Linked DNA regions of Kluyveromyces lactis. The protein of the gene in region 2 binds, or shares a complex with, the protein of the main gene of each other region. Links are inferred from orthologs where the notes say so. Each region holds a gene or a part of one and is shown on either strand. Other genes may lie near its edges. The genes, in order: LSM5, LSM6 and LSM1.

Evidence for each region.
Region 1: the proteins of LSM6 (region 2) and LSM5 are in contact, whole or in part, in a crystal structure (PDB 4M78), measured with the Saccharomyces cerevisiae proteins. The link is inferred for Kluyveromyces lactis from reciprocal best matches to the Saccharomyces cerevisiae genes LSM6 and LSM5. Residues at the interface, in NP_010666.2 of Saccharomyces cerevisiae: Val11, Thr12, Phe15, Leu16, Asp18, Asn25, Lys27, Leu33, Met45, Glu57, Ser58, Asn59, Val78, Met79, Tyr80, Ile81, Ser82, Glu83, Gln84; in NP_011073.1 of Saccharomyces cerevisiae: Leu24, Arg28, Phe30, Val35, Phe37, Asp38, Asn42, Ile44, Glu50, Leu52, Val64, Met65, His67, His68, Gly69, Arg70, Met71, Leu72, Leu73, Ser74.
Region 3: the proteins of LSM6 (region 2) and LSM1 are in contact, whole or in part, in a crystal structure (PDB 4M75), measured with the Saccharomyces cerevisiae proteins. The link is inferred for Kluyveromyces lactis from reciprocal best matches to the Saccharomyces cerevisiae genes LSM6 and LSM1. Residues at the interface, in NP_010666.2 of Saccharomyces cerevisiae: Ser30, Leu32, Tyr56, Leu64; in NP_012411.1 of Saccharomyces cerevisiae: Ala158, Arg159, His160, Gly161, Val163, Asp165.

Annotation. Positions count from the first base shown.
Region 1 is NC_006041.1:902,537-904,654, forward strand, and holds LSM5 (RNA-binding protein LSM5), read right to left. Parts: upstream 920-2,118; coding exon 665-919; downstream 1-664. Other genes in the region: IPT1 (inositolphosphotransferase), read left to right, coding at 1-421; PAA1 (polyamine acetyltransferase), read left to right, coding at 1,832-2,118. UniProt on the Saccharomyces cerevisiae protein: Component of LSm protein complexes, which are involved in RNA processing and may function in a chaperone-like manner. Component of the cytoplasmic LSM1-LSM7 complex which is involved in mRNA degradation by activating the decapping step.
Region 2 is NC_006041.1:232,526-234,804, forward strand, and holds LSM6 (U4/U6-U5 snRNP complex subunit LSM6), read right to left. Parts: upstream 878-2,279; coding exon 635-877; downstream 1-634. Other genes in the region: GTPase-activating protein RGA2, read left to right, coding at 1,992-2,279. UniProt on the Saccharomyces cerevisiae protein: Component of LSm protein complexes, which are involved in RNA processing and may function in a chaperone-like manner. Component of the cytoplasmic LSM1-LSM7 complex which is involved in mRNA degradation by activating the decapping step.
Region 3 is NC_006041.1:1,348,048-1,350,545, reverse strand, and holds LSM1 (Lsm1p), read right to left. Parts: upstream 1,190-2,498; coding exon 650-1,189; downstream 1-649. Other genes in the region: KLLA0_E15181g (uncharacterized protein), read left to right, coding at 1-310; FMP46 (putative redox protein), read left to right, coding at 1,807-2,196; DUF5427 domain-containing protein MTC1, read right to left, coding at 2,265-2,498. UniProt on the Saccharomyces cerevisiae protein: Component of the cytoplasmic LSM1-LSM7 complex which is involved in mRNA degradation by activating the decapping step.

The DNA.
Region 1 (2,118 bases), about 670 kb from region 2:
TGACGACTTGGAAGCACGCGCAACGACTTCTGACTCGGATTCAGAACTAAATACGTTGGCTGTTGCTAAAATCCTTGCCAAACAGCAGGTTTTGCCAGTTCATATTCTAGAGTCCAAATGGCTCTACATTTTCCATAAAGGTCTGTTACCAAAATTTTTGGGTACGATTTTCGTATGCTTACAATGGTGGTCAACCCAATATTTGGATCACCATTTCAGATACGATTTATTCGTCGGTGCCGTTTATGCTGTAATCTCATACATCTTGATCAACAAATACGTCTTGCAACCAAAAGTTATCAAGCCTTGGCTAATAACCAGGGCTGATCCTACCTTGGACAAAATGAAAGAGTCAAAAACTATGGGTATGAGAGTTTTTGAAAACACTAAGATCGAATGGTTTTTCGATCCCTTGGCATGATATAGTTGAACAACAAAAATCAACAAACCTTCGGATACGGTATATCAAACGTCTCGTACGTTTGCATTGATTCATTTTTTGTATAAGCTGCACTTCAATATGATAATTATTTTACATATAAAATATATAATATATACTTACAAAGGATGTTAGTCAATATATCAATACCAAACATCTGAGAGAGAAAAAAACAGCATGCATGTTACAGATTTCGTTTTGAACATCAATATGCAGTTCCATTGTTTAATTTGAAGCAGGTTTTCCACCAGGTATCAACATAGCAATGTTGTTACCAGTCAATAACATCTTTCCCTGGAATCTTTTAATCTCCTGGTCTTCCAAATACTCTACCGCATTTTCAATGACAACATTAACGTAATCATCGAACCCTACTAGCGTACCAAAGAATTCTCTGTAATCTTTAAGTAGAATGGTCACTTCCTGTCCTATTGTTTTGTCAATGACCTCTAGGGGCAAAATCTCTGAAACACTACTCATATCCCGTCGTTTTATAAATATGTGTTGATGCAGTAGTAGAGCAGGAGGTTTTAATAGTCTAATGATACTAATAGACAGTAGTTGTCGTCAGCTCACAGCTTTATCTCTTTGATCAAAGGTACTTATTTCTTGAAACTTTCAAAGCTCTCTCAATATGTGATTGTATGGTGAAAGTAAGCGTAGTTGGCCGAAAGAAGGCAATAAAGTAAAGAAATGAGCCCATAAAAAGCCTTAAAAGCTGCTACAAGGTAGGCCAAGAATGTTGTATCTATTGGCATCGACTTGATGGTGCTGTTGGCTACAAAGGCTTAAACAACATGCAATTTCGCTAGGAACGGACGGTACGGGTCACATGACATCTCACTAAACACGAACATCAGGTGTCCCTGAGACACTGTTCACCAGCTGTGATGATTGGCGTTCTGGTCCAAGATTAAGCCTCTGGTGACCATTCAACTTGCCAGTCCGGTATTTACAGGTTCTGTCAACTTTAGATTTGGTTATCACTCACAAATTCCTACCAAGTGGTGCGTAATTTCTATATTCTTGCCGCAACTGTTGTTTCTCCTTTGTACAATATCAAAATAACAATTCAATTGCAATATCAATCATATATACTAAGGTTTTACATATGATGATAAGGATAAGGATAACAAATACATATAGACACACATCTCACAAGACTATCACTTCCGTTATTGAGCAGTTCACAAAGACATCATATCTGTCTAACACTAGTTGATAAAATCAATTGGTCTAGGAGTTGAATACCATTGTTGATAATAAGGTTCGATTGATTTTAGAAGCAAACTAGAATAAGGAGCAAATAATTGTATTATTGTGGCTAGAATTGAAGAAACAACATTAGGAAATCATTATTAAGTATTATAAAATCAGAAAAGAATTTTCACTATGTCATCGTCATTGCCACTGCATGTTTATATTAGACCATTAACGATAGAAGATTGCCAAGCATCAGTAGAGCTAGAGGCACAAGGCTTCCCACCTGAAGAAAGGGCTGGAAAGGAGAAGATCGAATTCAGATTGAAGATGTGCCCCGAATTGAGCTCGGGTCTTTTCATTAGAGACGTTAAAGGCACTGAGATTTTGGGAGAAAAGTTGATTGGCCATATCTTTGGTACCAAGATCCCCATCCCAAAAAACGGTACCAAGGAATTAACTTTTATTACCAACGAAAG
Region 2 (2,279 bases):
CATGAGAGTTTGTTTCGATTGAGAATAACACTATTATTCAAGATGAAAATCAAGCTGTGCACCGAATTAAGGTTAAAAGGTTCCACAAGAATGGTACAGCCCTCACTTGTTCCACCTTCTATTCTCTTTAATATATTCTCAAAAAAAAACTACAACATGATATGAGGTTCGCGGTTTGTTTGATCTGAAAGCTTTCTTTATCACAGAATAAATAAGAAACTACGAAAGGAACCTCTTTGATCTCCTTTTCTCTAACGATATGACAATAAATTTTCTCTTTTAAGAATCATGATATAAAAATTTGAAAAGAGTAATGTATAACTCACTGGTACAAGGTTAATATATATTATTATTGTATTAGATATCTACATATTCTTATTATTTTAAAATAAAATCAGAATTTAAATTTATGTATGCTTTGGTGCTTTATATATGTGCATCGTAGTATTTTTTAACACTTTCCGCTTTGATAACGTTCCATCTTTATAGTATACAATTATATACTTTTGTATATAAATTATTATTAGTATTATCATATTATTGTAGTTATTGAGCTTCTGAGCAAATAGGACACTTTATAATATCGACTTACAAAAGTCATTGGTCGAAGTCAATCTTATTGCCCAATCGAAGCCTATTTTTCGCTAATGTATAACACCTGCGATCCCCTTAGAAATACTTCAGAAGGATATTTATGCAAAGTTCCGTTCTCTTCTGCCTCATAATGTTCCGACACTTGTGACATTGTGACGTTCATAAACCCATCAATTGATTCTAGCTTACCTTGATACAATATTCCTGAGAATAGCTTGACGTATACTGGTTTTCCAATGATGTTCTCCAAAAAGGAGCCAGAAGCCGTTGCCTTAGATTCCATGATGTGTTAACAATCTATGCCTTTGAAATTTGGTAGCGTCGAAATAAAGATATGAAGAAGCCTGTAGTTCTTGCATCTGAACCTACTCTCATCATTCTCCATCAGTTCAACGTTATATTAACAAAGTTCACTTTTCATTGTTCACGTTGAAGTAAAAGGGAAAGAATGTTCTAGTCACGTGATCTGTGGTAAAGTGAATTAAGTGATATGCAGTAAGTAATAAATTAATTAATTAAATGAATGGAAGGGAACAGCGCAGATTATAGTAATATATTGCTCTAGCTTGGAAACAAATGTCAAAGGTTCTTCCTGGATACATTCCGACAACAACCAGCATTCTTTGACTCCAATTTTAGCCAAAATCTTCGAACTCTAAGACCTTGAAACAAAGAAACTGAACTCCAAATCACGCCTGCACACCACATAGTTCAAACATTCTCAAACCTGGTTCCTGATTTTGTTTCAATGCATATATACATTTCGAAACCGTTGAGAGACAGCACTAATTTACCTTAGTGGCTCTCTGCAGCTGATAGATATGCTATATCAATTCAGCTAGAATATAATTGACGTGGTGTGCTGTTTACGTTTCCCTATCTAATTGACTTCCATATTTAGCACTGGTTAGGACCGATTGTACATATATATAATCAAGATTGAGACACGATTTATTTATATCAACTCGCTTCAAACGTTTCGGATTTTAACAAGATAGGGCTGCATTCACTCTCGATCAAAACATTCCTTGAGTTAATTGAACCCTCGTATCTATATTTCGATCTCAACATTCATATTGAGGGAATTTACTCCGTCCACGAGGAACAGCTTGGAATTCTTTTCCCTTATATAGTACTCTCTAACGGTGCGTGGCAAGAAAATATCATAGTATAAAGCCGCTGCTAATACATCTCTCTATTAACTTTTTTTTTTTTTTGGTGTGTCGTGCTCTTTGTGCGTGTTCTGTTATTATTATACTTTCGATTCGAAGATTAATCTTAGATTTCTTTTCAGCTTTTGATCCATTAGATCAAAAAGTTATTGATCCAGGGACAAACGAACACACTACAAGACCATCACCTCCACAGCGTGCTACATCTGCAAAACTAATTACCGTATGTCTGCCTCTCCGAAGGGGGCTGCTGAGACGTCAGTATGTGTTCGTTGTACGAACCATATTACTATGGGTCATGCGTACGAATTAGGCGGAAATAGATGGCACACCCACTGTTTCTCCTGCTACAAATGTGATAAGCCTCTAAGTTGTGACTCGGATTTCTTAGTTCTGGGTACAAGTGATCTCATATGTTTCGAGTGCTCGGACTCATGCAAAAATTGCGGTAAGAAGATCGATGATTTGGCTATCATTCTTGCATCATCGAATGAAGCTTATTGTTCTGAATGT
Region 3 (2,498 bases), about 1.1 Mb from region 2:
TTTCAACGCGGCAATCAAATGTGATTACGAAGGTGTAAAAGCGGCAAGAGAAGAAATTGGGATGGTGAAAGCCGTGACACCAAAGGAAATCTCGTCACTGGTGGATTGGTCTATCCAGTTGCATGGATGTTACGGACTCTGTTCAACACAAACACCCTTGTCACATATGTGGCAAGTGAGTCGATCGCTAAGAATTAATGATACGCCGGACGAATCATTAATATCACAACTGGGGAGGTTGGAAATCAGTAATTATAACAAATTTCAAAAGACATACGATCAAGAATTAACGACGCTCGCTGGCAAATGAGTTGATCCGTTAGTTAAGAATTAATTTTGACCGTTATAATGGTTCTATTTTATGTCAAATGGGGATTATTGTCCCATTAATTTTTTTTTTTTTTTTTTTGGAATGCCATGCCGCGCTATCTATGCATTTTACTTATTATGAATAGTACAGTACCGAACCATATATAAGTGAATATATATATCTCTATGTGATATATAATTGAGTATCAAAAGATAAATACCCTTCAAAACCACACGATCTCCAGTTTGTGTAATGATTTAGTTTAGTTTAGTTTAGTTTCGAATTGTATGTTTTACGATTTTTTTTTGCTTGTCTTTTAAACTAATTATAATCTTATACTTAATACAAATCACCTTTATTGAAATCGGTAGTTAAACCAAGCTGCGCTAGTCTCTTACCCTTAGCAGTGTTCTCCTTGTATTTCACCTCGTCCATTTTCTCCTTATAGCTTTCAGCTTCCTCAAATGGAACACGTTCCATCGATTCCAATGGTGCATCCTCCTTATCGATGTCTACTTCGCCCAACATAACAACGTTTTCACCTCTTATCATGAAAACTCCTCTGTCACATTCACCATATTTATTCTCACCCTCGATATATATTCTTTCCACCGTATGCTGTAGTATTAAGTTGGCATATTGATCAAACGTCCTTAGTACACCGAAGAACATACGGCCATCGCGCAATAGTACGAATATCTTGCGGTCTACTGAGCCAACAATGGCAGCTGTAGTTGTGAAATTGTATTGGTCCAAATATAAATCTGCTTCACCTTCTGATAGCTTGGACTTAGGACGATTTTCTTCCACATCGGAAGCCACTGGTTCAGTAACTCCTACTGAACTTGCTCTGTCGCTATTCGGAGACGAAGAGGACATTTGTAATTTGAGACTCTGATTCTTTCAATGAGCAAGTGAAAAAAAAAAAAAAGATTATAATGAATTGTAAAATTCAACACTGATTGTGATAGTTCTGGGTATCACTTGAAGGATAAATAGGCCGTTAAAGCGTCCAACGATTCATCTTTTTGGCAGTTCATTGCAATTCCATTTGATGTTGAGCTAGCTGAAACGAATTGAAGAAAAAAAATGTATGGTAACGTTGAGGCAGGGTAACTATAGGATGACTACCTTTGCTACAGGACCGCATAGTCATTGCACAGACAAGGCACAAATGGTTAGCTTGATGATTCTGTTTCCAAGTAGGTGAAAGGTGCTGCCAATCCGGATACTAAGTAGGGACGTCATGACTCCGTATCATAGTATTGATTGCTGGATTTTCCGGGATTTTGTTTCCCTGCCATGCGTATTTGAGGGATAATAGTATGATTTCCAAAATGTACATATTTCAAAGATGTCTTAATTTAGTATTGCGTATATAAAGGCAGCAACAATTACTGGGGTGACCTGACTTAATTAGACTGAAGTATTTAACTGAGTAAAAGTTCGAATTTTTTATAGAGGGGGACATTGACAATCAGTATCTTCAATTCATCATGTCTATGTTTAAAACCATCCAATTTCAACCTCGCGTAGTGACATTATTCACACACAAATTAGAATCATCTCATGCTCAAAATCTTCTAACGGCATTAAAATCGAACCACAAGAACAAAATCAACATTGAAATATGCCAGAAATTCCCTACTAGAGATCAATTGGAATATTTGGCAAAAATTGATAAGCCCGACTTAATGGAACAGATTCCTAAGACGGAATCTCTTTTGAAAAAAGCTGCTGAGGATCCACTATTTGGGTCACCATTGCAGAAATGTGTCGAGAATGGGTCTTGGAATAAACAGACGAGCTTATGGGTTGACTGGGAAAAAGCTGTATTAGGCACGACGGTTCAATCGTTGAAAGAGAAATGGTTACCAAAAAACTGATATGGGAGTATAATAATGATGATTAATAACAGTAATTAGGGTTTTAAAATATGTATGTAAAAGACACTTCACAAATTCATTCTGCTTATGACGTATTGTTGGGCAAGAATACCGAAAGTTAGATCAAGACCTTCGGATATCCATGGTTTCACCCAATCACTTGGGTCGATTTTTTCTGTGGATTCCTCATCGCTTAGTGCATCGGATTGTAACCATTTGGCCCATTTGGAGGGGTAACCTTGGGATCTCACTATTAGCAAGATATCATTACTTATGTCTTTCAAGATGACAATGAAATGGAA